2 linked regions of the Mus musculus genome follow. The protein of the gene in region 2 purifies or fractionates together with the protein of the main gene of each other region. This does not show direct contact. Links are inferred from orthologs where the notes say so. Each region holds a gene or a part of one and is shown on either strand. Other genes may lie near its edges.

The links.
Region 1: the proteins of Hspbp1 (region 2) and Edrf1 purify together in Homo sapiens (affinity purification with mass spectrometry; 3 studies listed by BioGRID and IntAct, counting the BioPlex papers as one, with this or other methods). This does not show direct contact. The link is inferred for Mus musculus from reciprocal best matches to the Homo sapiens genes HSPBP1 and EDRF1.

Annotation. Positions count from the first base shown.
Region 1 is NC_000073.6:133,631,429-133,646,600, reverse strand, and holds the start of Edrf1 (erythroid differentiation-related factor 1), read right to left. Parts: upstream 8,927-15,172; 5' UTR 8,789-8,926; coding exon 8,678-8,788; intron 7,695-8,677; coding exon 7,486-7,694; intron 5,922-7,485; coding exon 5,855-5,921; intron 5,308-5,854; coding exon 5,182-5,307; intron 2,954-5,181; coding exon 2,829-2,953; intron 2,609-2,828; coding exon 2,452-2,608; intron 1-2,451. UniProt on the Homo sapiens protein: Transcription factor involved in erythroid differentiation. Involved in transcriptional activation of the globin gene.
Region 2 is NC_000073.6:4,678,111-4,693,238, forward strand, and holds the start of Hspbp1 (hsp70-binding protein 1), read right to left. Parts: upstream 6,872-15,128; 5' UTR 6,784-6,871; intron 6,460-6,783; exon of another isoform or gene 6,457-6,459; 5' UTR 6,366-6,456; coding exon 6,162-6,365; intron 3,939-6,161; coding exon 3,734-3,938; intron 1-3,733. UniProt on the Homo sapiens protein: Inhibits HSPA1A chaperone activity by changing the conformation of the ATP-binding domain of HSPA1A and interfering with ATP binding. Interferes with ubiquitination mediated by STUB1 and inhibits chaperone-assisted degradation of immature CFTR.

The sequences.
Region 1 (15,172 bases), about 130 Mb from region 2:
TATGTGAGCGTCACAGAATCCTAAACCCTAGAGAACTTTCCAATTAGTGTGAAAATCTGCTGCCTGCCAAAAACCTGCTTTTGAAGATTAATGTCTATTGAACATCATTCCCACCAGTGTTCTAAAAACCAAACAAAACCAAACAACACAAAATCCAAATATTTTAAATGGTATTAAATTAGAAAAATCTACCTCCCTCTCTGTATAATCCAATGTCCTCCCATTTTTTAATATTGAAACTACTTCTTCCTTCTTTTGAGACAGGGTCTTTTTTTGTAGCCCTATCCTTTTCTTCTTCCCAGAATCTGGACTACATTAGAAAATACCCACATTTTGGGTGAACACAGTATGCCACACCACAGCACTGCAGCCGCTAGGCAGCTGTCACCAAGAACATTGATGCTCTTCCTTTGGCCTTGAGATGCACACATGGACCTGCTGCTGCCTTCACAGAACTATCTCAGTCCACTGACTTAGAGGAACACAAAGGCTCCCCTGGAGCTGGAGTTAAAGCATTTGCAAGCTGCCCAACGTGGGTGATGGTATGGAATGCAGACCTTCAAGAGCAGTGTGAGCTTACCTACGCAGCCACTGTTCTAGCCACTGTAATGTGAGTTCTAAGAATCCTCTGGTTACAGACAGCCACATGCAATAAAACACATCAAGTACCGAATACAAAACGATACGCCTCTACTTCTTCCTGTAACCACTAAGTGACTTGCATATTAAGCACCTCCTTCCTTTGATGTTTTCTCTTTGGGGAAAAACCAAACACCTCAAATTTAAATACGTACTTTTATGGAATGCCTTCTCTACTTTAAAATCTCTAAAATTAAAATCAAGTTAGCCTTTTTTTTAAAAAAAATAAAAGCAAGTTAGATGTGCTAATTTTTTACAAGTCTGTTATGTGTAAAGACTGAGCCAATCTGACTGAATTCATGTTCAGTCCATGACAATATACAGCGAGACAAAAACCCAATTTACCAAGTTAGAAGGTTTACTTTTTTTCCCTTTGGAAAAATGCTTTATTAGATATTTTCTTTATTTACATTTCAAATGTTATCCCCTTTCCTCATTTCCCCTCCGAAAACCCCCCTATCCCACCCCCCATCTCCTTGCTAACCCACCCACTCCTGGCATTCCCCTACACTGGGACACCGAGCCTTCACAAGACCAAGAGCCTCTCCTCTCATTGATGTCCCACAAGGCCATCCTCTGTGGTTGGAGCTATGGGTCCCTCCATGTGTACTCTTTGGTTGGTGGTTGAGTCCCTGGGAGCTCTGGGGGGTACTGGTTGGTTCACACTGTTGTTCCTCCTATGGGACTGCAAACCCCTTCAGCTCCTTGGGTCCTTTCTCTAGCTCCTTCATTGGGGACCCTGTGCTCAGTCCAATGGATGCCTGTGAGCATCTACTTCTGCGTTTGTCAGGCACTGGCAGAGCCTCTCAGGAGACAGCTCTCTTAGGCTCCTGTCAGCATCCACAATAGTGCCTGGTTTGGGTAAAAAGGTCTACTTTTATTTCTTTTGACTCATTTTAGTGTATCTTCCTAAAAACAGAAATGCCACAAATTAGCATCTACAGTGTTATTTCATCCTACGGAAGACAGAGTAAGTTAAAAACAAGTAACTAGGGGCTGAAGGGATGGCTAAGAGCACTGGCTCCAATTTCCAGGATGGACACGGCAGCTCCCAAGTGTCAGTTAACGCTAGCTCCAGGAGACTGAATACTCTTTTGTGGCCTCAGTAGGCACCAGACATGCACACGGTACTACTCAGAGATGCAGGCAGGCAAACACCCATATTCATAAAATAAACATAAATAAAATAGACAACAGTCTATTCTTTCGTCACATAGACTTAGAGGGATGGCTAAGCAGTCAAGAACACTTTCCTGCTACTCTAGAGGACCCTGGTTCAATTCCCAGAACCCCACATGGGAACTCACAACTGCCTGGAACTCTAGTTTCAGGAGATCTATCATATCAGACATGCATTTGGCACATAGATCTGTGCATGCAGGCAAAATACCCATATATATAAAATAAAAATATTTAAAAATCTTTATATGATAATGTGGGGCCAAATCCATTTTCCAGGAGGAACATCATCCAATTTAGGCCAAACAACCTAAATTATAGGCACACCTATCACTCAATGCATGACAGGTACTTAGTACATATCTAGAGTTAAAAATACACTTTACATTCAGTCGTACTCAATTTTAAGAGAAAAAAAAAATCAGTTGACTACTTTAAAATATTTTGTGTTATTTAATCTAACCCTGATTCATGTTAACTGCTGGATATTCTACTGTGGAAAGCTAAATGCATTTTTGTTTCTAACCCTGAGATGAGGCTGAGTGAATACCCCTCACCCTTCTTCATCACCTGCTTAGTTCAGCTCTGCTCTCCTGAGTGAGTTCACAGAATCAGATCCAAGGACTGACAAACCTGACTGGAAGCACTGGGATCCTCAGACACGGAAGAGGGCATTTCAAAGGGAGCAGGCCAGGCGGCCCCTTCAGACTCATGTGTCTGCTGAGAACTCGATGACTCTTCTTGTTCTGCAGGAGACGGGACAGGCTGCGCAGCTCCATCACCATTGATGCTAGTCAACCGGAAATAGAGAGGAAAACGTGACACATCATACTACAGCCTACCTGTCTGTATAAAACAGACTCTATAATCAAGCATGCATCTTGTCTATAAGAAACATAGTTAGTGTTAACAAAGCAAAACTTCAACTGCAAATTTTACCCTATTCAAACTGTAAATTTTAGGACAGAATCTGATTTTTCCTAAGACAAAGATAAACAGTAGTCAAATACCTGTAGTACAAGAACTTGGAAAGAATAGCCTTCTGATACCAGTGCTCCTTGCTTTTCTTCTTCCTCTGCCACTTCTGATCGATCAGTCTTTGATAGAACTCTTTCAACCATGTCCAATCACCAGTCTGAATAACGAGACATTACCGAACAAATATGCACACGTGTGATGAATACTGGACACTGTGTTGAAAGCTCAGCCCACAGCCAATGGTGTTTCTAAGATACCGAGGAACCTCTAGAAGGCAGAGCTTAGAGGAAGGAAGCTAGGTCTCTGGAGGTGTGGCCTTGAAAGGATCCTGCACTCCTGGCCCCTTCTCTCTCTCTTTACTTTTCGGTCATCATGAGGGAAGCAGAGTCTCACCCTGGCTCTAAGGAGTTGTGCTGTGACAGGGTGACAGGATGGAGCTTCTGCACCCACCCAGAACAACACTCACGTCCCTCCTGCTCTTCTGCTGGATGTTTCCTCTCTGTGACAAGCAAGACACCGATTCTCACTCACCCAATGCTCTCAGCTAAAAGCAGATATTCTTTAGTTTCTACAGATTGTTTCATGAGCATGCACTTATAGGAAGAACAATAGAAAGAACACTTTGATTTTTCTGCACCCAATTCACATCTAAGAATCTCCTACGTTTCTCTTCTAGCTAGGCCTGGAGAGGAAATCCTTTCCTACAGTACCTTCTCAGCTGCCCGAGGAAGGCCCCGCTTTACACTTTAATCAAAGTACCTATGTGTGTCTCAACAACCACACTGAACTAAGGAGCAAGGGCTGTGACTTGTTCACTGTCACCCTAAGATCTGACCAAGTACAGGACACACAAGCTGCACTGTGTTGCTTTCTAAAGAAACTATATTATCAAATTAATTTCTTGTAACTTATTTTTTGTTATCCAAGCATTGGAGAAGTTAGGACTGGTAGGCAGGTCTGTCATCGCAGCTACCTGGAGACTGAAGCAGGTGAATTACAAGTTTAAGACCTGGGTGAACTACAATGTGAGTTAGAGGCCAGCCTGGGCAATTAGCAAGACCCTGTCTGGGGAAAGAGGTGTTCATGGGTACAGTTCAGTGACAGAACACTTATCTATCATGCATGAAGATAGGTTCAAGCAAAAATAGCACTGTGTAGGAATATTTAAAAGGTAGTACAGACAGGCAGAACCATCAAGTACTTGTCAGCAGCCCAGGAAGGCAAGCATCAAGTAGGCCTAGAGAAGTCACAACTGTCCTTATCACCTGGGGGAAAGCATCTACGGACCAGCAGCCTGAGAAGCTAGAAATCAACTCGTATAATTAGTTATACTCATAGGAACAGCTCTTTAACGTTGTTTACGTTTCGGCCAGCCATGTTTCCAGAGTATGTCTATAATAGACATTAAAAGAATTTTCAAAAACAATTAGTTCCTTTAATCTCACAGATTTACCAATCCTTTCTTTTAAAAACTGACTTCATCCTTTTAAAGACAGAATCCTGGTTTTACATTCAGCTTAAAAAAAAAATGGGTTTGGAGAGATGGCTCAATGGTTTAGAGCACTGACTGATCTTCCAGAGGACCTGGGTTTGGTTCCCAGTACCCAAGTGGTAGCTCACAAATATCTGTATGATCCAGCACCCTCTTCTGGCCTCCCTAGTTATTAGGCATGCCATGTGGTTCACAGATGTGTCCATCATGCACCTAAAAATTATACGAAGTTTCTTCTCTGTTCTTTTCTCTCCCCCCTCACCCCCCTTTAAAGACTCTCTATATAGGCCCAGCTGTCCTAGAACTCTACATACAGCAGACTGGCCTTGAACTCGAGATTCACTCTTGCTTCTGTCTCCTCAGCCTGAGGTTGGTTGCATTCCACCAACCATGACCAGATGCTTTGTCTTTAACAAAGCTTTTCTCTATTTTTAAGTCTCTGATCAAACAGCTCATTTCTTTATTGCTGAAGTACTCAGCTACAATTCCAATTTGGCATTAAAAAAAAACTGTTTTAAGTATGAATATGTACATATGCGTGTGTTTGATGCTCAGGCGTGCAGGTCTGTTTTGGATGTCAGATGAGGTTGTCAGGTGTCCTGCTCTATCACCATCTATCTCGCTGTACCCCAAGGTTGTTTTTTGTCATTCCTGATCCGGTTCCTGCCAAGCTAGCAAGCCCTAGCCATCCTATCTCCAGCTCCCCACAGTAATGGGGCTCCAGGCCTGCATGACTATGCTCTGCTTTTTAGACAAGGTCTGGGAATCTGACTCAGGTCCTTGTGCTTGCCCAGCAAGTGCTCTTAGCCCGACTCTGGCATTTCCTTAAAACAAAACCACACTTTCATATTAAGAGAGTGCTTTTCTAAATGATTTTTGCATGAAGTAGTTACCTGAGATGACCTCATAAAGAGTTCTTGAATGTCCAGCTCATCTAGTAAGAGGGTCCTTCCTATGCGGTGCACAGCCATGCTCACGTGGGACTTGCTGTAGGGAATCTTCAGGAGCTTTTTTATGTTCTTAAGAGAGTTAGAGAGGCCCCATTAGTATCACCCAGAATTTATGGAGTTTAACTTCATTCAATCTGAAGTTTAATAAGCCTTATTTAAGGTTACACAAACTAGACTTTTCGTAATAATAATCATATAGAGGGCAGAGCTTTAAACTCTGAGTTACACTGTCAATGTAAGTGCAGCCCAACACTATTACATATTCTATTACAGTACAATTCCTTTTTATAGGGATGGAGGACAACAGCTACTAGTATACCATTTTAAATTCTCAAATGGTAATAGACACAGAATAACTCTAAACATATTCAATTATTACTGTTAAAATACAACCAACAGTATTCATATTTTTTATTAGTCCCACTGTTTTGGAATTGTATCCTCCTCTTAGAGGAGATAAAAAGCATTTTTAAAGCAAACATAGGTATTGAATAATTACATAACTTTGTCTTATTCCATTGCTGATAGCAAGACTGTAAAGCATAACACGTTTTAACATCCTCCTCCCCTCCCCTGCGGCACTGCATATCCCCAAAGTCACCGTGAAAACACTCACTTCTGAGTCGGAGACGACATCCACATCATTTCCCACCGAGTCAATGAAGTCATACGCCATGCCGAAACTACGGAAGGAAGGAAGGAAGAGGCCACAGATGGAAGGCTGAACAGAGTAAAACTGTCTACTGCTTCTAGGACATGCACACCTCACATTTGGAAATCAAGAAGTCCACTGCCATCTGGCTGCCAACTTCTCATTTCTTCTTAGGTACACAGAAAATGAAGCACATCTTTAAAATGCATCTTCAACTTAGTGAGACAGTAAGAACTGCAAAAAGCAGTCAGTGTGAGCATAAACCCTTAACCTCTCTGATGCAAAACAGTTCAAGATTTAATTCCACATATGAAGAAAAACAAAATGAGAAAAATATGTTAACATGTATGGATATAACATATAAAGATATAACATCAATAAAAGAAAAAAAATTGTACCTAAAATCAACTCAGCTTAAAGAGAAAATGAAAAACTGGTAAGCACCTAACTCATTCAAATCACCAAGTTCATCTATAAGGTTGCAAAGCAACGGATGTCACCATTTTCCCCTTAGTAGGTGGCAGAGTCAGGACATTTAATCAGGACTGCATATGCATGTATGATTTTCTATCTGCTCTGGGCAAGTAGGTTAGCCTTCATTTCTCATGTACAAACAGTTAATAGTGTCTATCTTAGGGCTGGAGAGATGGCTCAATGGCTAAGAGCACTGACTGCTCTTCCAAAGATCCTGAGTTCAATTCCCAGCAACCACATGATAGCTCACAACCATCTGTAATGAGATCTGATGCCCTCTTCTGGTGTATCTGAAGACAGCTACAGTGTACTTATATATAATACATAAATAAATATTAAAAAAGAAAAAAATCTAGCACAACTACTGAAACCAACTCACCACATTTAATACAATTAAGCCATTTTTAAAATAGTCGAAATATGTGGTCATTTTCAGACTTTTCACAGTATCAAAAATGCTACATCAACTTGTAAGCAAAGCTATTACCTTTTGAGGCACTAGGATAATCTCTAAACTACTAGCTCAGGGTATTAATGCATTTGTGGCTCTTTCTGTGTTATATAAAGTTTTATATAAGTTATATAAAAATGTTTTAAGTCCAATCATTCAGGGGAGGAAAAAGAAAACACGGTTAAAACAGCCTACAAGAATATAGACACAGCATAAGACTCCCAAATACTCACAACTTTAAAAACCACCAGTAGAATTTCCAGTGTGGGTCAAGGGTGTAGGTTACCCAGCATTTGGGGTTTTAAACCTCAGGCTTTTCCAAATACTCCATCATATTTAATAAACACTCCAAAGGGCAAGCCGAGCAGCAGCTTAAGTCTTGCCCCTCGCATACCATCCTATTTGCACATATGAAAGCAGACACAACAGGCTAAAACAGCTGATGAGCAGTCAACGTGTACACGTTATCGTGACATGCTGCAGCCTGGAAGAAAGCATGTACCTCTGAAATCTTCTTACTGTACCATGGACTTTGGATGACAACTATATTCTTTTACTAAAAATATCTGAGCAAGTGAACATGCATCTCCAATTGAACTGCGAAGCAGCTTTCAGAGCTTCGAGCCGGGGTTGAGAGGGAGGGAAAGAAATGCCAGCGATTAAAATTTACCTTGAAAACGGCTTGCTTTTCTTACTATTGCCAAGAATGGTGGTTCCTGCTGGCCCTAGTTTGGCACTCTCTCGTAACCAGTTGGCAGGTGGGAGTTTCAAGTCTGTTTTTTCTTCGAGACGTGCAAACGCTGTTCGAGGAGGGGCAGAAGAGTATTTTACCACAGCTCTGCTTTTCACTTCGTTGCCTCCAAGAAATAAGGCCGATCCCTAAATAACATATGGAATGAAGCTTTAATGAACACTGCCAGGAACGACAATCTCACTTTCATAAAAATGAATTAAGAACCCACCAAATCAGGATTCACAAGGAGCCTCAGCTGCGTGTCAGCTCTAACACTTAATAAACAAGCTTAAATTACGCTTACTTAGCTGTTTTTCACGAAACTAAAAAAAAAAAAAAAAAAAAAAAGGATCAATCAAGAAGTGGACAGGGGCCAACCAACCTGCTTTTTAAAAATCTGGGCATAGTAGTTGCAAACACAAGCTTCAAGCACTCTGGAGGCAGAGGCACAAGGGCCAGTGCAAGGTCTACGTCCAGCTTGACTGCCCGGTCTGCATAACCAGTTCCACACCAGCCAAGACTCAACCCGGTACGATGAGTCACAGAAAAATGTAGACTCAGAAACTAAGTGCGCTCAACTGTGTCCTGTCAACCGCATGTAAAACGAGCAAGACTTCTGTACGGTTCTAATGGAATATTTTTAAGTAGCATAAGTCAATGACAAACGTCATTTGCAGGACGTGTTTATTTTTACCAAACACACAGCGATTGATCGGTAAGCTCATCGCATCCCATTCTACATTAGCTCCGTAGCTGACCCTACACCCACCCGGGCATGCTCAATGTCTGGACCCGCTGTTCGACTCTCCTTCGAGAACCCTTCCAGGCGTTGCAAATTCTCTGTGCCCTCCCTGGGTCCGTCCCTCTCTCCTCTGCCTGCCTTCGGCGGGCTGTGACACACACACACTCTATAGCCCGTCCACTGGCGCCGAGTGCGAAGCCAGGGGTGTTGCGCATTGCAAGCAAACGCCTGCCTGCACACCCGACGACAGGCTCGCCTGGTGATTCATTCCGTACTAGAGGTGCTAAGGAGGCGTGGAAGAAAGTTCCAGAAGCCCCACGTCCCCCTCCCAGGCCCGCAAACCCCCCAAGCCCCTGCAGGTCGCGCTCCGCCGCCGCCGCCTCTCACCTGTGCAGAAGGCTCCTCGGAGTCCGCCTGGGACAGGAGGCTGAGCCCTCCTCGGGCGGCCGCCCCTGAAGGAGAAGCCTCGGCTCCTGCTTCCTTGGGGTCCCCCATCATTTCCGACCCTGGGGAGGCGACCAGACGCGCGAGCCCTGGAGGCGGCGACAGGAACGCGGGCCCAGAGTCGCAGGAGAACCTCAGAGCGAGCGACTCGGACACTCAGCGGCTCGCACTTCCGGCGGCTGCCAGGAAGAGCTCGAGGTAGCGCGATGAAATCTCGCGAGATTCACCCAAAGGTCCAGCCCGTCCTCCGGCTCTGGCTCCTCCTTCGCGGTCCGGGCAGGAGCTGCCGCACGCCGTTGCCTGTCACACCATTAGGGCGGACACTTCTCGCGATACACGCCTCCCGGGCTCCTCCCCCTCGCTCGTGGCCGGTCTTTGTTGGCAAACAGTTAATGAGACTTGAGTCAAAGTCGCGGTGGCTGGGGTGGGGCGGTGCCGCCTTGGGTATTCGCGTAATCAAAGCTGGTGGCATCAAGGCCCTCGCAGGCGGCCGCTCTCTTGGGGCTTCTCCGAGTTGCACACGCGCGGGGACCTCCGTGGGTCTCAGCACCCTCAGATCAGTGGGGCTGAAGCAAGGAGAGAGAAGCCATCAGTCTGTTTAATCGGTTTCTAGGCAGCGCTCATGCAGCCCTGGCTGGTTTCGAACTCGCAAAATAGCCGAGAGTGACCTTGAACTTGACACTCTGCCTCCAGCTCCCGAGGGCTGGGGTTTCTTTCTGCCCGAGGATGGAACCCAGGGCTTCGTGTAGGCTAGGCAAGCACTCGGAGCTACATTTCCACCCTGCACCCAATAACAGACAAACTGCTACATTCCTCATAAAACATATATATTTGAGGTAAAAGGTTTTGTTTTATGTCGAGGTATTACGTTTTGGGTTTTTTTTTTTTTTTTTTTTTTTTTTAAATGTGTTTTGAGTGCTTTGGCTGCGTGTGTGCATGCAGTGCCCGCAGAAACCAGAAGAGGGCATCAGATCTCCTGGAACGGGAGTTACACGCAGTTGGGAGTTGTGGGCTGTGGGTGCTAAGCTGTGTCCTCTGCAAGAGCAGAAAGTGCTCCTAATGGCTGAGCCAGGACGGAGGTATACGTTTTCAGTTTTCAGTGTTTTGGCCTTTGCAATTATTTAGCCATGCCAGGTTATAATTTTCCTTAGTCTCTAAAAACCCAGTAACTGAAAAACTTTAGGAGTTCTCGGAGAAAGCAGATGCAGTCTGCAAATTGCTTTCATGCAAAACAAGACATTTTTATGAATTAACTTTTTGGTGCATATTTTGCAGATCCTTACTTTAAAGCATGTTTTGTGATTTTTTTTTAAACTACTCTGTATTTAGAGCCAGTTTTTGTTTGTTTGTTTGTTTGTTTGTTTTGTCCTTTTCGTTGTTTATTACATCAGAGGCTAGCAGGCTCGTCACATAAAAGCTTGTGCCAAACAAAACTGAGGGCCCGAGTTCCATGTCATCCCTGGACCCCACTGTAGAAGGAGAGAACTGACTCTGGAAAGCTCCCCTCTGGCCGTCACATGTCCTGTGGCATGAACACACACACAATAATAATACAGAGATCTGAATAAGACCTATGTAGCTAACACAAAAAGATTAAACTTTGAGTACTTAAAAATAAACCCTGTATATCCATTAACTCACGTTACAGGAATATTTTTTTTTACAGGAATATTTTTAAAAATTAAATTGCACATCATAGTATGTTAAATGATAAGCAAATATTTAAAAAGTAATATGGTCCCAATTTGAAAATCCATCTGTTTCTGAAATGGAAATCTCTGGTTGTTTTTGTGTCTCTAAATGAACAGATTCATGTAAGAAAGAAATGATTTACATTTAGTCTAACATTTTTCTATTTTTCTTTCTTGTTTCATATTTAATTTTATTAACACTTCTACAAATATAAGTTAGGTTCTGATAACCTTACAGTTTTGTCATTTATTAATAACGATGTATCAGTAAGAATTTACTGAGGTAGTATAGTAGTGGGTTTTTTTTTCTTCGGGACTCAAATATTGTACAAATTTCTTGAGATGCTAACATGTGGATCCTTTTTAATGATGCTTAGTAGGAAAATGTGCTACTAGTACCCTACAAAAAGGAGAAATGAAGGAAGCAGAAGTGAGAGCTCGGTATACAGAACAGGAGTCTGACAACACCAAGGGGCTCATGAGAGCTCAGGGCTCCGGCAAGCCAATCAAGCTCCCTCCCCCCTCCCCCCTCCCCCCCCCCCCCCCCCCCCGCCGCCCCCAGACTTATGGAGGAAGGTCTGGCCAGGGGCTGGGTTTCAAGAAGCCACACACAGGCAGGGACTAATTTAGTTGGGAGAGGAGAGTGATCCCTGAGGCCTGGAGAAACCAGGCACATCTGGGTTACATAAAGTTTATACATTCCTCCAGCTCTAAGAGCCTTTCCCCCATAATCAAACACATGCTGTAGGCTTCTAAAAGTTATCATCACTGCCTCTAATGTAAGTGATTGAAATCCAGTGTTGTGAGGAAACAGATCACTCCTCCCATCATTCAAACGTTAGGACAAGAACAGCTGCCAGAATTTGCCTAACATACGTCTCCTTGGGATGGTCTCTGTCACACATGCCTCCCTGGACAGTCGCATTGGCTTTGAGCTCTCGTGTTTCCCGTCTCAGTGCCTCATGGCCTCTTTGCTTAGGATACACATGTGGAGTGGATGACTAACTTACTGTGTGCCACCACAGCTCTAAGTTGCTGGTGCTTTTCTTGTGCTTAGGATTCCTTCTCTGAGTTCCCTAGCTTACTCCTGCGCATCTTGTAGATTCCGCTCAGGTCACTCTAATAAGTCCTTTCTGATACACCCCACGTTTTCTTCACACACATCCTTGGTCCCTTATACTTGTACAGCTTTATCCTGTGTTTGTCACACACGAGAAAACAACGTTTGAATCTGCCTCCCTTGCCGCCTTTGGACTCAAAGGCCTTCGTTCTGTCTGATCAGCCTTTTCACCAGCAGCAGGCTCTGCACCTGCAAACCGAGCTGTTTAAGCCCTTAGGCAATGTAGGGGAAATTGACTGGTACTGTCAATTTTAAAGTGCTTTCAAAATGTTGGAAACACAAAAAACAATGTAGTTCACTCAAAAATATTTTAATACTCAAAATCCAGGCTAAAAATGTCTTATAAAGTAGCTCAATGTAGTGTAGCACCGGTGTCATCAATTATTGAAGTTAATATTGATGCACGGTTTGTGCCGTTCTGAAACGGTTTGTAAGCTAGAGCTTCGTAGTTTGCAAAATTTCCCTCACCATGCATGAGTCTCTCAGGGAAATGCTAGTCAGTAATAGACTGATTTCGTTACCAGGTGGTGACACATACTTTTAATTCTAGCACTCTGGAAGCAGAGGCAGGCAGACCTCTGATATGTAGTGATTTCTGGGTTGGCCAGAGATACACAGTGAGACCATTATTTTAAAAATATGCATCTAGTTATTTGTAGCATGTAATATTTTTATATTGTTTTGGAAAAAAATGTATCCTCAAATGTATTCCATTAAACACTATGTTTCCTTTTTTTAGATTTATTTTTTTATGTGTGTTAGTGTTTTATCCGTATGTATGTTATGTGCACCATGTGCATGCCTGGTGCTCTCAGAGGACAGAAGTGGGTGTCACATCCCCTGGAACTGGACTTACAGATGGCTGTGGGCAGTCATGTGGGTGCTGGGAATTGAACCTAAGTCTATCTTAGGAGCAACAAGTGCTCCTAACCACTGAGCCACCTCTCCAGACTCCCATTGAACACGAGACACTATTCAGATAGTATAATAAGTTGCTACTCACTGGTTTTTTTAAAATATTTATTTATTTATTTTATATATTTGAGTACACTGTCGCTATCTCCAGGCACACCAGAAGTGGGCATCAGATCCTATTACAGATGGTTGTGAGCCACCATGTGGTTGCTGGAAATTGAACTCAGAACCTCTGGAAGAACAGTCAGTGCTCCTAACCACTGAGGCATCTCTCCAGCCCTCCAGAAAAGTATTGTAGCAAAGACAACACTAAATTATTTTAGAAGTAAACTTTTTGGCTTTTCATTGTCTTTATTTTTTTAAAAAGACTGGTAGTTTATTCATTTATTTTGGAAGTTAACCTTTTATCCTGATACCTGCTGCTATTTCAAGGCTCACATCCCAGGACAGTCACCCTCAGTCCTCATTGCTGTTGTTATGCCCCAGCTTCAGCACGGCCTAGGGAGGCTTCTCAGGACTGCTTTCCCTCTGCCCTCTTTCCTTCAGTCTGAGGCTCCAGGCTCTTGAGGTTCTCTGTGGTTCTCTCAGTCTCCTCATTAGTGCCCCATCATCAAAATAGGCCCTGCTCTGTGGTAACCCTGTGGATCCTAGATCCCTTCAAATCAAAGGTGCATTGCCGAGATGTCTCGGTGCCTGCAGGGTGCTCTCATAATTGGAAGAATTACCGAGAGCTGACTCATGCTTGTCCAATACTTTTTTGAAACAGAGTTAGAAATCCTCTATAAAACCTTGATAGAAAGAGAACTGTGTGAGGGCTGAGAGCAGTTGTGGGTGCTGCTGAGTCTAATGGGGGAATCCAGTGCCCTTGGAGTTGCTGTGCAACTAGCGGAGGATGCTGGCCTTGGAGACTGTTAACCCTTGGTAGTGTTTTGGAATGTGGGTCTCGCTTACCTTGGGTCTTACACGTAGCCAACCCCACTCTCTGCTTGCTGAACACGGGAAGCCCTGAGCTTCTGACTCATGATTGTGCTCAGAGCTGGAAGTTGGATTTGAGATGATCAGGACCCACCTCTTCCTTCTTTAAAGAGAGTGGCGTGATCCAGAAAGACAAACAGAATTGCATCACTGAGAGATGTGCAGTCTTCACGAGAAGCAAAGCTGGACAAGTGCTCAGGTCTACTACTCAGGTGTAAACTACTAATGTAGGCCAGTAGAGTTTCATTGTTTTTTGTTCTTTCTTAGGGTTTCCTTACACAGCCTATGCCGGCCTGGAACTCAATCCTCTTGGGTCAGCCTTTCCAGTGCTGGGCCACTGTGCCCAGCTAGAACCTCAGTTTGTTTCATAATAGCTGGCTTAAACAGCAGACTATCAAGCCACCATCAGTTTTGAAATCAATATCTCTGGGTTAGCCCAAGAACTCTACATTTTTAATCAGACTGCTAATCCTAGAACACATTGGCCTATAAACCACAATTTAGGACAGTGACCTCCAGAGGCAGTTCCCGGGATTGCAGGAAGAACCACAGCATCCTACAAAAAGAAATACTACTAAATGTGTACCCTTGCTCGGGCCCTGGTCAGTGGCATACCAGGCAGAGACTCCATATGCAATGAAAGTAGTGCTTATTGCATGTGAGGGTTGGTTGCTAGGCAACAAATAGGCCAGTAAGTCAAAACAAAATTTCAGATGAACACTGAAAACATTTGTAGAGTGAGAATATACCAAATATTTATTGTAAATATACCCAGTGCTGCATTTGAGTTCCATGAGTCCATGTCATCTGTATCCAGGACCCAGGCTGCTAGTCCTTAAGCCTTTGGTCAGTGACAAGCACTCCCGCCATTTGCTTTGTTTTAACAACAACAACAAAGATCACATGACCAACTGTTGCATTAGTGAGGTAGGGGAGAACAAGGCTTCCCCCCAAGGCAGGACACTGGTTGTCAGTGACCACTACACAGCACTGTCACAAAGTGAAGTCTGTTGGATGGCACTAGCAAGGTTAAACTCAATGACAAAACCAGGCTTTTTAGAGATCTTCTTTGCTGGTGTGCAATGGGGAAAGAATGACCTTGAAGCAGCTCCTATTACACACAAAGGTCACAGGTCCTCAGTGACAAACCACCAATAAGAGTTGTCAAGCTTGAGAGTGAGTTATTATTTTTTTTGTCAGTGTTCCACGTGGTGACAAGTAGGTTCATTAGGAAGCTACTTGGAGAAAGTTTCCCCAACAGACTTCATCTGTCCATTCAAGATAGAAGTGACGCTCGAGCAATGATTGGTTTTCAAAAGAATTTCAGCCTACTGAGGGAGCTTTTCTGCAGATAGACATTTGGAAATCTTTACAACGTTCGATGAGTATGTTACTCAAGATAAGTCCATGGCTTATTATTTATTCAGGGCTTTGCTATGCGAGTGTGAGGACCTGAGTTCAGAGACACAGAGCCCACACAAAAGCCAGGTGGCTGAGCTGCTCTGCGTAAGAAGAAGGAATGGAATCCTTTGAGTGAGCTGCCTACTGAGGCTAAGCAAAATGCCAAGCTCCCAGTACAGCGAGAGACCCTGAGCCAATGTGCAAGGTAAAGAGCAATCAAGGGAGACACATGATTGCCAGCCTTGGACATCCACGTGTACGCACACATATGTGCACATGTACATGCACACATACAGCCACACATATGTGAACAGGCACATTTCACACACACTTGTA
Region 2 (15,128 bases):
AGAGTGCCTGCATAGCCTTCATAAAGTCCTGGGTTTGGGTCTTAGCACCACATACAATAGGCATAGTGGTACACTCAGCACTAAGAAGGAGGCAGTAAGATCCTAAATTCAAGGTCATCCTCAGCTACGTAGAAGTATTATGCCTTCCTGGTTTACATAAGACACTGTCACAGCCGGGCGGTGGTGGTGGTGCACGCCTTTAATCCCAGCACTTGGGAGGCAGAGGCAGGCGGATTTCTGAGTTCAAGGCCAGCAGCCTGGTCTACAAAGTGAGTTCCAGGACAGCCAGGGCTATACAGAGAAACCCTGTCTCGAAAAACAAAAGCAAAACAAAACAAGACACTGTCACAAAACAAGAGATTGGGAGGAACTGGGGGTACATGCCTATTACCCCAGCTACCTAGAAAGCCAAGACAGAGCAGGGTATACTAGTGCACTCCTAGCACTTGGGAAGAAGAGGCCAGTGGATCTCTGTGTGTTTGACTCCACCAGACTGATTTATTATATTATATATATATATATATATATATATATATATACATACTGACTGATTTATTATATTATATATATATATACTTACTGACTGATTTATTATATTATATATTATATATATACTTAAATTCCAGCACAGACAGACCTGCATAGTGAGATTCTGCCTAGAAAAACAAAAAAAAAACAAAAAAAACAAAACGCTGAGACAGGAGGATTAAAAGTTCTGCGTGGACTTCAGGAGTTCAAGGTTAGACTCAGCATCTTTCTGAGACCCTGCCTCAAAGCACGAAATGCAAAGAGGGCTAGCAATCTAGCTCAGTCGAGTAGGCTTGCCATACTCAACAAGTTCTGAAACCTGGAGGTAATACTGCAAAATACTGTAATGTCCTGAATGCTGCCCAGTGCTGGCACAGCCTGTAATTCCACCTCTTAGAAGGTATAAACAGAAGGACAGTCACAAATTCAGCGTCAGCTAGGATGTTATAGACTGTCTGGGCAGTAGTGGTGCACGACTTTACTCCTGGCACTCAGAGGAGGCAGGCAGGATCTCTGAATTCCAGGACAGCCAGAGCTACACAGAGAAACCCTGTCTCATAAAACCTCCCTCCCAAAAATAGTAAAACAAAACAAGAAAATTAAATAAATAAAAGAGATGGATGCTACAGAATTATATACTCAAAATGGTTACTTCTGTTGTGACTTTTTAACATTTACATATTTATTTATATTTATTAGTGGTGTGTGTGTGTGTGCGTGTGTGTGTGTGTGTAGGCATACACATGTTATGTACGATTTTAAAGGTCAAGGTTCTGGGAGGTGTTTCTCTCTTCCCATCATGTGAGTTTCTAACAAACTCAGGTCACTGGGTGGCAACACTTTTTCCCACTGAACCCTCTCACTGGCCCATTTTGTGATTTTTTTTTTTTTTTTACCTTGATAAATAAAAGTAAAGTTTAGAAACTCGGCCTGGGGGTTGGCGAGATGGCTCAGGGGTTAAGAGCACTGACTGCTCTTCCGAAGGCTCTGAGTTCAAATCCCAGCAACCACATGGTGGCTCACAACCACCTGTAATGAGATCTGACGCCCTCTTCTGGAGTATCTGAGGACAGCTACAGTGTACTTACATATAATAAATAATAAATAAATTAAAAAAAAAAAAAAAAAAAAGAAACTCGGCCTGGTGACACACACCTGAAATTCCAGCACCGGGGGAGAGGAGAAAAGAAGATTAGGAGTTCAAAGCCAACCCCAGGTACACAGCAAGCATGAGGGTAGCCTGGGCTGCCTGAGAATTTGTCTCAACAACAATAACAAAAAAAATGTGGGGCTTGAGGAATGGCTCAGAGATTAACAACACTTGCTGTTCTTGTAGAGGACCCATATTCGGTTACCAACTCCCACATGGGCAGACTGCAACTGCCTGTAACTCCAGTTCCAGGGGATTCAAAGTTCTTCTCTAGCCTTTGAGGTTACCAGATATGCATGTGGTGGTACACACAAATACATACATGCAGGCACTCACACATAAACATAAAACGTCTTTAATCCTAGCTCTCAGGAGGCAGAGGAGGGGGATCGCTGTGGGTTTAAGACCAGCCTAATATGTATACATAGTGAGTTCTAGGCCAGCAAGGGTAACACAGTGAGACCCTGTCTCAAAAAAGGGGGAAAAAAAGGGCTGGAGAGATGGCTCAGTGGTTAAGAGCACTGGCTACTCTTCCAGAGGACCTGAGTTCAATTCCCAACAACCACATGGTGGCTCACAACCATCTGTAATGGGATCCGATGCCCTCTTCTCGTGTGTCTGAAGACAGCTACAGTACACTCATATACATTAAATAAATACATACATACATAAAAAAGGGGGAAAAAGGGGGGGTGGTTATAGAAAGATGGTTCTGTGGTTAAGAGCACCAACTGCTCTTCCAGAGGTCCTAAGTTCAATTTCCAACAACCACACGGTGACTCGCAATCATCTGTTATGGGATCCAATGCTCTCTTCTTTAAGACAGCAACAGTGTACTCATATAAATAAATCTTTAAAAAAGAAGGAAAAAAAGCTGGTTGTGGTAGCAAATGTCTTTGATCCCCCTTTAATCCTAGTACATGAGACACAGAGGCAGGTAAAATACCTGTGAGTTTGAGACCATCCTGGACCACAGAGTTCCAAGCCAGCTAGGTCTACATAGTGAGATCTTGTCTCATTTAAAAATAAATAAATTATATATACATACATGCATACATACATATGAATGTGACCTACAGAATGCACCTTGACCATGGATACTTCAATGTCATTGCTTACCCTAGACCTACACGTGTCCGTCCCACTCCTTTGACAGGAGGATGTCTGTCTGTTCTGATCACAGTAGCACCATCCTACCTCAACGTTTGCACTAGCTATTCCTACTGCCTCGAATGCCTTTTGTAAAGCAGGAGTACCCCATGACATACCCTCACTCGGGTGATATACCCCATGACATACCCTCACTCAGGTGATATACCCCATGACATACCATCACTCAGGTGATATACCCCATGATATACCCTCACTCAGGTGATATACCCCATGACATACCCTCACTCAGGTGATATACCCCATGATATACCCTCACTCAGGTGATATACCCCATGACATACCCTCACTCAGGTGATATACCCCATGATATACCCGCACTCAGGTGATATACCCCATGACATACCCTCACTCAGGTGATATATCCCATGATATACCCTCACTCAGGTGATATACCCCATGACATACCCTCACTCAGGTGATATACCCCATGATATACCCTCACTCAGGTGATATACCCCATGACATACCCTCACTCAGGTGATATACCCCATGATATACCCGCACTCAGGTGATATACCCCATGACATACCCTCACTCAGGTGATATACCCCATGATATACCCTCACTCAGGTGATATACCCCATGAAATACCCTCACTCAGGTCTCTGATCAAACACTCTACTTCCAGGCGGCCTCAGATTACCACTCCATCCCAAACCACCTCCCTTCCCTTGAGAGAGTAGCAAGCAAATTAGGGAGTCAACATCAGTCCCAGGACTCCTCGGGAAGTAGCAGAACAAATCTGTCACCACAGGGACTTGGTGGGGTATGAGGAGGGCTTTGTTCCTGGGAGGAGCTGCTGGTTCAATACAGGAGAATTGGGAAAGGGCAGAGCCAGACAGCATGTGGGACAGCCTGGGGAGTACTGAGGGAGGAGGGTACCTGCTGCATTGTCCATGTTCTCGCACAGGTCTGCCAGCAGCTCTAGTGCGCCTTCACGCTCCTGCTGGTCAGTGGCCAGCTCAGCTTCGCCAGCCATTGCGGGTGTGGCCTGGGACAGGACCCGGAGGCAGTTCTTCATCTGCTCCACCTCCTCTCGCTGGCCCCGGAAGGCGGCCGACATGGCTTCCTGCAGCCATTGGCGTCTCTAGGGAAGAAGGGAGAAGGATGGGGGTAGAAGATGTCTCTCAGTGACTGCCCAGGGAGTGACACTAATAGGACAGCCAAATGCAAGGACTGATGGCTCTTTCCATCAACAAGTATCTAGGAGACATCTTGGGGGAAGCACAGGAGTCTCTCATTCTATAGTGCAGTCTGGCTTCCCGCTCACAGCAGCCTTCCTGCCTCAGACTCCCAAGTGCTGGGATTAACAAGCAAGAGCCACCACACTCAGATGTTTACACAGTTTTTACTCATAACTTCTTTTCTAGGTTCTAGGGAGTCAGTCCTGAGACAGACTGATTAGAGAAAAAAAAGTGTTGTTCAGGGTGTGTGCAAGACAAACACAGAGAGAAGCTAGAGGGAAAAAACAAACAAAACAAAACATGTAGTGTGACAGGAGATGGCAATATGACAAGTGCTATAGGGTAAGTAAGATTAAGCACAATGGAGGATCATGGGAGTGGAGGTTGGCCTGTAGAACTTAAACGGGGTCATCTTGGAGGGTCAGATGTCAGCAATGAAATAGGCCAGGGAATAGCCAAGCATATACTAGGAAGAATATTCAAGACAGAGGCAATCACCAGCAAGCCAAGGTGGCTGAAGCAAGGTTAAGTGAGGGAAGAAAAAAGTTGAGGAGAGAGAAACACCCCAGGAAAGGAGCAAGTTGGATCTTACAAACAGATGCAAAGGCCTAGATTCTGCTCTGAATGAAGTGGGTGGAGCTGGGAAGGGAGTTCTCCCGAGGAGAGGCAGAGAGGTGGACTGAGAAGCATAGGAGCAGGGAAAGAGCGCTTACTAGGATTCTAAGTAGTCCATGCAAGAGAAAAGTTTATGGAGCAGGTTTCGGTGGCACATGCTTATAATCCCAGCACGGGGTGGGATGGAGGCAGAAGCAAGTTCAAGAACAACCTCATCTGTGTATCAGTGTGAAATATGGCCAGATCCTGGACTCTGAAGAGAGAACCAACTGTTGAGCTAAGGGAGGAGGGGAGAAAGAGGAGTCAGGCTGATACAGGGGTTCTGTCCTCAGCAACAAGTCCCGCCCATTTCCCAAAAGATGTCAGGTTTGAGGATCAGCTATACAACCGGAGGCTGTGGTGAGCTGGATGGTTCTGTATTGTGACAAAAGTCCTGAGAACTACATGAGGTTTGAATAGTATCCCTGGTCTGCACTTGCTACCAAGTTGGAACAAGAAGGGCTCTCCAGCCATGCCAACTGTCGTCTGGAGAAATTAAAAAAAAAAAAAAAAAAGCCAGAAAAGATAGAGAATGAGGAGAACAAGAGATAACAAAAGAAAGGAGTCCAGAGGAAGACCAGAAACTACACTGTCCCCAAAAGGGCGCTTCAGGAGGACTGAAATGGCTACCATATATCTGTAAGTCCAAGACTTTGGAGGTGGGGCAGGAAGGTCAGGAGGGTAAGGTCATTAAGGCTAGCGTGGTCTGTTTGAGACCGCAATCTCAAAACAGGAAAGAAAAGGGGAAGAAGCTGTAAGGCTTTGAAATCACGCTCCTGGACAAATTTGGGCAAACTATCTCATTGCTCTATGCCTATTTCCACCTTGGCACAACATGACACAACATGTATAAATTATTCTGTAACTTAACTGAATTACTACAATATTCTATGTATCGTAAATGTCAATTAAAAAAAGTTACATGAAAAATTCCTATCAACCTTTAAGACAATTCTGTAAGGTTTTATTATAGCTATTCCAAATTCATTGATTAAAAAAAAAAAATCAGAGGCAAAGAAAGGATGTGAATTGCCCAACCAAGGTCATGGCTGGCAACTGGCAAAACCCAACTACGTTGTGTACGAGTCAGTATAGACTGGAACATCAGAATTGCCTGATAAGACACTATCATTACTATTATCACCATCAATTCAAAAATGAACGAACACTTGAGGATTCGAAAGATTAAATAATATACCCAAGGTCACACTTGTGGAGACAAAGCTGAATCTAGTTCTGCCTGGGTCTAGAGAACCCAGCTTGCTTTTAGACTTTTCACTCATCATGAGACTTCCCAATACAAGGCTGCGATCGGACACTTTACAGCTGACCTTCACCCTATCATGATGCCACATTTAGACTCTAGCTCACCACCCAGGAAGACAACAGCTTGTAGCTCACTAAGCCACTCTCCCCAAGACACTTAGATCCTCAGGACCCTCACCCAACCTTCTTAGGTCCTCATACTTTACCTCCTCGCTCATGGGTTCTGGAGGGGGGTCTGGCTCCTGAGAACCCGCAGTAATAGCCATCTGCAGCAGGCCTTGGAGGTTCCGTGGAGGCCGGGGGTTGCCTGAGCCCCCCGCCGAGGAACCACTGCCCCCTGACGAGCAACCCTGAGAGGCCGGAGGCAACGCAAGAGGGAGGCGACTGCCCCCTGAGCCTTTGTCTGCCATGGACTTTCTGTGAAGGAAGAATGTGTTTAAAGGAAATTGATGGTCACCGCTGAGGCAGCAATGGTGTCCGGATGGGTCGACTCTTGAAGGTCTGCTGAGAAGGTGGAGTTTTGAAGGTGTTAGGAGTCTTCTCATGATCCCAAACCATTCTGCCTGCAACCACCTTAACCATAGCCCCCTTTCCTTCCTTCATACTAACAGGACCCTTGCCCAAATCCAGATGTCCCTCCTTGCTCCCTAGCAACAGGCCCCACCTACTCCCTGGCAACGAGCCCCCCCAAGCTCCCCAGCTTGCGTCCTCGTCTCTTAGCAACCCCACTGCCCCGCCTCCATGGCAACAAGCCTTCGCTCAGTCTCCTTAGCAACAATTCTCCTCCCGTGTCTTTGAAGAGGGGCGCCCCAATGGGGCTGATCTCACCTTGCCGGGTCTAGAGCTGCCACCACGCCTAAAGATAGACTAGGCTGCACCTGACTCTACTGGGCGCCGCCATCTTTACCGGAAATACGCAGTTCTCACACGGAAGTGCCTCACCCCAAGCTGTTTGCCCAGTTCTAAGCAGCACCTCTTAGCGGATGCGGCACTTAGCTCCGCCTCTGTCGACTAGGCCCCCACCACTTTCTCTTTGTCACGCCCCTACATTTCGCGCTTTTGTTATAAGCCCCGCCCCCTAGCTCCTCTGTTTATCTTAGCAAACAAGGGACTTTCATGGCGAACTCCTCCCCTCCCAGGCATAGGCCCCGCCTATGCCCATATTCCCCGCCTCTTTTCTAGGCCTTTCGGCCTGTCCCAGTCAAGTCCCGCCTCTTAGTACCTGGAACTTCAGCTTGTCCTGTTCGGCCACGCCCCTGCGTAGGCCACGCCCCTTCTCTGCTGCTGCTGCTGCTGCTGCTGCTGCTGCTGCTGCTCAGACGGTTTTGTTCCTCACTCAACTGATTTTAACTGCATTTGCTCCTAGAGTCTCGGGATATCTCCCCTAATATCCCACCTTTGTAACCTGAGACTCGGGCTCACTTTTTTCTAGGCCTCAGTTTCCCCATTTATTACCGGTTTCAGTGTGGAATACTCTGTGTGAGTTGTGTGTCTTCATGTGACTATGCATGGTGTGTGGGAAGTCCCATGTCAACATCAGCTGTCTTCCACCTTCGATCTTCCAATCATTTTAAAAATATTTTTAGAGTTACTTATTTATTTATTTATTTATTTATTTATTTATTTATTGGGTTTTTCGAGACAGGGTTTCTCTGTGTAGTCCTGGCTGTCCTGAAACTCACTTTGTAGACCAGGCTGGCCTCGAACTCAGAAATCTGCCTGCCTCTGTCTCCCGAGTGCTGGGATTAAAGGTGTGGGCCACCACTGCCCGGCTAGATTTTATTTTTAAAGATTGTTTTTAATTATGTAGTAGGGGAGGAGGCAGATGCCTGTAAATGCAGGTTTCTATGGGGCCAGAGACAAAGGACAAACTAAAGCTGTAGTTACAGGCAGTTATGAGACAACCAATATATATATATATATGGGTGCTAGGAACCAAGCTCAGGCTCTTTGCAAGAACAGTAAGTACTCTTAATGACAAGCTATCTCTTCAGCCTCTTAAATTATTGTTGTTCTTTTAATTTTTTTGTAGACTTACCTATTTACTTGTGTACAAATAGTTTGTGGTTGGTTAGTTTTTGTTTTGTTTTTTGAGACAGTGTTTTACGGTATAGCCTTGGCTGTCCTGGAAGTTACTCTGTAGACCATGCTGTCCTCAAACTCACAGAGATCCACTTTCCTCTGCCACCTGAGTGCTGGGATTAAAGGCGTGTGCCACCACTGACCCTGAACATTTTGCCTGCATGTATGTGCGTGCACTGTATGCTTGCTTGATGGATTGCCAGGAACTGGAGTTACAGATGGTTGTGAGCCATCATAATTGGGTGCTAGGAGTTGAACCTGAGTCTTCAGCAAGAGCAATAAAGCAACAAGAGTTCCTAATCATTGAAATATCTCTCATTGAACTCTCTCTCCGTCCCACCCCACCCCTCTTTTGTTTTTTGTTTTGGAGATGGTTCCTTATTTTGGTGTTTTGTTTTGGGGAGGCTCTCAGTATGTAGCCTGGGCAGGCCTGCAGAACGATGTGAGCAGGTTGCCCTACAACTCATAAATATTCACACGCCTTAAAAGTAGGTACACTCAGGGATGGCGAGATGGCTCAGCGGGTAAGAGCACTGACTGCTCTTCCAGAGGTCCTGAGTTCAAATCCCAGCAACCACATGGTGGCTCACAACCACCCGTAATGAGATTTGACACCTTATTCTGGTGCGTCTGAAGACAGCTACAGTGTACATGTGTATAATAATAAATAAATATTTTTTAAAAGTATGCACACTCACCCTGCTCCGTTTTATTCATTTTTATTTTGTGTATGAGTATTTTACCTACTTGTGTATATATACACACCTTATGTACCTGCTTGGTGCCCTTGTGGGCCAGAAGATAAGGTTTGTTCCCTGTAACTCTTACTATTGCTGTTAACAAATATCTTGTTTTTAATTTTGTTTTGATATGGGTTTCTCTGTGTAACCCTGGCTGTCCTGGAACTCATTATGTAGACCAGGCTGGAATCAAACTCAGAGATCTACCTGTGTCTGCCTCCCAAGTGCTAGGATTAAAGGTATTTGCCACCATTGCCTGGCTTGATTTTTGTATTTAAAAAGAAATTATTTATTTTTATTAGTACTCTGTCTGCATATACATCTGCATGACAGAAGAGGGCATCAGATCTTGTTATAGATAGTAGTTGTGAGCCACCATGTGGTTGCTGGGAATTGAACTCTGGACCTCTCGAAGAGCAGTCAGTGCGGTTTGTTTGTTTGTTTGTTTGTTTTGTTGTTTGGGGGGTTTGTTTGTTTGTTCGACACAGGGTTTCTCTGTGTAACCCTGGCTGTCCTCTAGACCAGGCTGGCCTTGAACTCAGAAATCCGCCTGCCTCTGCCTCCCAAGTGCTGGGATTAAAAGCGTGCACCACCACTGTCTGGCTGCAGGCGATGCTCTTCACTGCTGAGCAATCTCACCTGATCCAGACTCTTTATGTATGTGTATATGTGTAGGCCAGAAGAGGGTTTTGTATTCCTTGGAGCTGGAGTTACCAGTAATTGAGAACTTCCTGACATGGGTTCTGGCAACAGAACTTGGGTCCTCTGAAAGAATAGAACTCAATTGCTAAGCCATCTCTCCAGCCTTACCTTTTATTTTTATCTATTTTTTATAGATAGGGTCTGTCACTGACCCTGGAGCTTGCCCGTTAGATTATGCCAGCTGGCTATTGAATCCCAGAGAATCTTCCTGTTTCCACTTCTCTATAACCATGTACTACTACACCTACCCTGTGGGTGCTGAGACTCAAACTCAGGTCCCTTATCATGTGCAACAAATATTTTACTAACTAAGTCATTTCCCTAACCCTATTCTCTAGGTTTTCTTGTTTTGTTTTGTTTTTGTTTTTCGAGACAGGGTTTCTCTCTACAGCCCTGGCTGTCCTGGAACTCACTCTGTAGACCAGGCTGGCCTCGAACTCAGAAATCTGCCTGTCTCTGCCTCCCGAGTGCTGGGATTAAAGGCGTGCGCCACCACGCCCGGCCTCTCTAGGTTTTTAAAAAGGATCTCTGTAGCCCAGGCTGGTCTTGAACTTGCTATATATCTGGTCTGATCTTGAATTCCTCTTCCTCTCGAATACTGTGATTACAGGTATATGCTATTATTAATAGGAGTCCTCTTACTCTAAAGAATCTCAGTAGAGATGGAAAAGCTATATGATCACATTCCGTATAGGTTATTACAAATGTATTTATCTCTATATATGTATCTATGTATCATACTGTAACTTTCATAATATGCAAGGAGCTTGCATCTAGGCTATCATCATGGTGTGTATGTGTTTAATATTTATATATACATATAAATATACTATGTACATTTATACTATGTGGTATCATATATCATTAGACATATATACATCATACATAGACACATATACATACATATACATATATGTGTTGTATATAATGTATATATATGTATGTATATGTACATACATACACACACACATACATTCTAGCTCTAATTCTCAGAACCTATAAATATATGACCTTATATGCCAGAAGAAATTTTGAAGATGAGATTCAGTTAAGGATTTTTTTTTTTTTTTTTTTTTGTGGAGGGGGCACAACAGGGTCTTACTATATAGCTTTGGTTGGCCTGGGACTTGCTAAACTCACAGAAGTTTGACCATATCTGCATGATGAGTGCTGAGTTTAAAGTATGTACTCTGCTCTCAGTTACAGATCTACAACATCCTGGTGTATCTTGATTCCAGCCTAGTCTATATAGTGAGTTCCAGGACAGCCATGGCTACACAGAAAAACCCTGTTTCCAAAAACAAACACCCAAGGTGGAGAGCTCATGAGGAAGGACACTAGAGGCTAGCCTTTGTCCTCTACAAACATTATGCGCTCGTGTGAACTCACATCTGCACACACACATACAAATAATAAATTACAGATGTGGGGAGAGTAACCAGACTACATTATAGACATGTGTGAAATTTTTTCAAAACTATGTATTTTTTTGTTTTGCTTTGTTTTGTTCGTTTTTTGAGACAGGGTTTTATTGTGTAGCCATGGCTGTCCCGGGGAGGAATTTTGTAGATTTAGCACCCTGCCATATCCTTACCATTCAGAACAGTGTATGGCTCAGATTTGATACTGAAATGAAGATGGCTTGATAGGCTTACCACTTCAGAGGAGCACCAATTTGCATTGGTGCACCCTGTGAGAAACTTGGGGATGGAATGGATGCCTAACAACTTAGGGTGCCTGCCATAAAGAAGGCTATGGCTTATATGGAAGCTTAATAGGAACCAGATTCCTCATGGCTGAGTGCAGACCTATGGTCCTCCCACGGAGGCACATGGATTATACTGAGGCCTACCTGAAGTTTACAGGACTTAACAAGCAAACATTACACATCCAGCCTGCACTGGGATCTATCTGCCTACCTATCAAGGTATAGGAGACATTAAAGCATGGTGGTATCGGACTGTTTTTAAACAATTTTAAAGGAGTTGGAAGAAATATGCATATGGATAACTGTCTGTGCATATGTGTACCACGTGTACTTTGATCCCCGGAAACCAGATGGAGTTACATACAGCCATGAACTACTGTATAGATGCTGAGAATGCAAATCCCCAGTCCCTGGGAAGCAGCCTACTCTTCCTAACTGCTGAATCATCTCTCCAGGACTGTAATTTCACACTTGAGAGACAGAAGCAGGAGGATCAGAAGTTCAAGGTCATCTTCAGCCACATAGTTTGAGGTCAGCTGGACTTTGTCTTAAAAAAAAAAAAAAACAAGAGCAGAACGTGGAGCCCTGATAACGGTGGGAACATAGAATTAGCCCAAGGAGTACACAGTGTTGACCTTAGAGGACATAGAGAAATAGATCACACTTAGGTCTCCAACTCCCCAAAGTCCTTCCCTTTTCTATCTTTGTCTCTTTTATCCTCTGCCACCACCACCACCCACACACACACTCCACAGTCTGTTCCCATCTAAGCCCAGCATCATTCCCTCCTGTGAATATATGGACCCTTGACAGTCCTTATTTCTCTTTGTCCCCCTCGCTCTACATCTTCCTTTGCATTTCTATCTCCTCATCCCTGTCTGTTGTTTGTCTCCTATCCCTGTCTGCCCCTTTCAGCTCTTTTTTGAGGGGGTGGGTTGAGGGGGCGTTCTCACGTAGTCTAGGCTGTCCTCAAACACACTTTATAGCTATAATGGCCTTGAACTCTTAATTCTCCCCGCTCCGTTATTACCTCCTTCACTCCTCCACCCTGTCTCTGATATTCTGCATCTTCCCATCTACTAATGTATGTCAGACTTCTCTTTGTGTCTTCATCTCTGCTTGTCTAATACTGGTTCTGTATCTCTCTCCATCCTTCCCTCCATCCTTTCAGGCATCCCTCTCTCCTGCAGCATCCTTCTCCTCCAGCATCCCTCCACCCATCCATACATCCCAGCATCTTCCCACCTCCTCCCCGTCCGTCCAGCTTCCAGGCCCGCCCCCTGCCACTCCCCCTCCCCCTCCGAAAGGGTTAACTGTGGGGAAGGGCCGGGAGTCCCCGGATGGTGATGTCAGCGTGCCGGAGAGAAAGGACGAGGTGGCGGGGGGAGGCGGAGAGGAGGAGGAGGCGGAGGAGAGAGGGCGCGTGGGGGGGCGGGGGGGATCTCGGCCTGCAGCATCCGCCGGCCCCACACTTCAGACCCCCCCTGCAGGGGGAGGCACAGGAAGGGGGGGGCCGGCCAGGGACGGGCTGGGGAGGGGGGGCCGCGCAGCCCCCCCCGCCATGCTGATTCCAGGGGCCTGACCCCCCCGGCAGCCCCCCCTCCCCCAGCTCTGCGGCCCACCGACTGGGGGGGCCAGCCCAGCCCCCTGGGGACCCCCGGAGAAGTGGGGAGCAACCGGGGGGGCCGGGACGGAGGTGTCGCCGGCCCCCACCGGAGGAACGGGGCGACGGGCCGCAGGGGGGGCGGCCGGGGGACCGGTCGGGCCGGGACCAAGGGCACCATGTCGTCCGGGTCCAAGGAAGGTGGCGGGGGCTCCCCCGCCTACCACCTCCCACACCCACACCCACACCCACCCCAGCACGCCCAATATGTGGGCCCCTATCGCCTGGAGAAGACGCTGGGCAAAGGACAGACAGGTGAGAACCTAAGCGGACACCTGGGGCGGGGGCGGGGTGCTGGAAGGGGCAGAGGGCGGGACCATGGATATTTAAAGGGCAGACCCCTGGGTCCCTCGTAGAAAAGGGGCTTGGGTCCTGAGTTCCAAGTGCCCACGGTGTACGGAGTAGAGTCTGACGTTGGGGCCTTGAGATGGCAGGGGTCTGAGACTTGTGGGTTCCAGGGAGAAGTAGGGGTCTGGACTACTGTGGCTCAAATAACCCTATTGGGGCAGATATTGGAGGGGCTTCAGGAAGCTGTGGGGAAGTAGGCCCATTACGGGTGTGGGACCTGGGCTGATTCTGCAAGCTGAGGCAGGCGGGTGCTGCAGTACAGCCGCAGGCAGGGTGGAGGTGCAGGCTGGGTGGAGGTGCATCCATCCCGAGAGAGGCTGCTATCCTGTCCCTCTTATGCTCAAAAGCGGTCACTTGCGCTCCGTGCAGCAAGCTGGAGCCCTAGGGTGTGAGGTCGACTACATTCTCTCCATTCTGCAGTGTGGAAATAGAATGGAGAGGTGGACTGTAGAAAGCTAAGCTCCCAGCCAGAAGTGGCCCTGGAAAGCAGAGTTATCTTTGATTGATGCTAAAGGCTGAGTGTGGCCACAACCATCTTCTTCTAGGCAGGGGATCGAGGTGAACTGAGGGATGACCTCCAGTGTTCTGGGCTGTGGGTTCTGGGTCCCTATGAAGTTGAGTTCCAGGCCTGAGATAGGAAAGGGAGGTCAGACCTTTATATCCTGGTAGTAAGAGTGTGACGTGCTGTTGACCTCAATTCTTGAACTTTGGAAGGAGAAGGGGCCATGTACCTGCACTGCTGGGCCTGAGGGACGAGGGCTGGGGCCAAGACTACTGGGTCTAAGGACGGAGGGGTAAGATCTGGGTTCCTGGGACTGAGAAGAGGCACCTTCCATAGCTGAGCTCTGGATCTGAGGAGTGGTCAGGGAATACGCATGCTTTCTGACCATGACAGCTTTTTTTTTTTTTTTTTTTTTTTTGGTTTTTCGAGACAGGGTTTCTCTGTGTAGCCTTGGCTGTCTTGGAACTCACTTTGTATGGGGAGGCTTGGGAAAGAAGAAAAATTGAGAGTGTGTTTTGTAAGATTATAGGGCTTCTGAAATCTGAAAAGAAAGATGAAGTTGGGCAGACATACCAGAAGGCCAGAGAGTCAGAATAAAAGGCCAGGAGAGGCTGGTGGAGGGGATCGGCAAAGGGCAGACAGTCAGAAGGACTAAAAGTGGGCAACGTGCATAGGAAAGAGTTGTGTTTTGTAGGCATGGCAGCTGTTGGCTACCAGTTCAAATGCAGAAATTCGGGATAGAAGAAATGGGTAACCAAGCTGGGAGTGAGGATGGGGGTGTGTTGACAACTTGAGAGCTAGGGTGAACTCCAGAACACCCCATATTTTAAATCCGATCTCCAGGTCTAGTTAAACTTGGAGTCCACTGCATCACGGGTCAGAAGGTCGCTGTCAAGATCGTGAACAGGGAGAAGCTGTCGGAATCGGTGCTGATGAAGGTGGGTGTTTGTGTGTGTGTGTGTGTGTGTGTGTGTGTGTGTGTGTGTGTGTGTAGCGAGAGTGTCCTTTGGCGCAGAAGGAAAGGCGGGAGGTGATGCTGACCCTTTCTCTTGTATCCCTGGCCCCTCAGGTGGAGAGGGAAATCGCCATCCTGAAGCTCATTGAACACCCGCACGTGCTCAAGCTCCACGACGTCTACGAGAACAAGAAATATTTGTAGGTATTTATAGACACCCGGCCCCTCCGTCCTCCCTCTCCATGGTGTAGACACCGCTCCAGAAACAGGACACAAGCTTCCGGGCTAGCGATGTAACTCGGTTGCTAGAGTGCTCCTGTGGAATGCAGGAGGCCCTGAGTCCAGCCCCCAGCACTGCATAAGCCTGTGGCAGCCCTCAAGGATCATCCCAGCTCTGTTAAGCTGAGGCCGCACTGTCCAAAGGTCAAGGTCATCCTCAAGAGGTCAAGGTCATCCTCAGCTACACTGTTTTT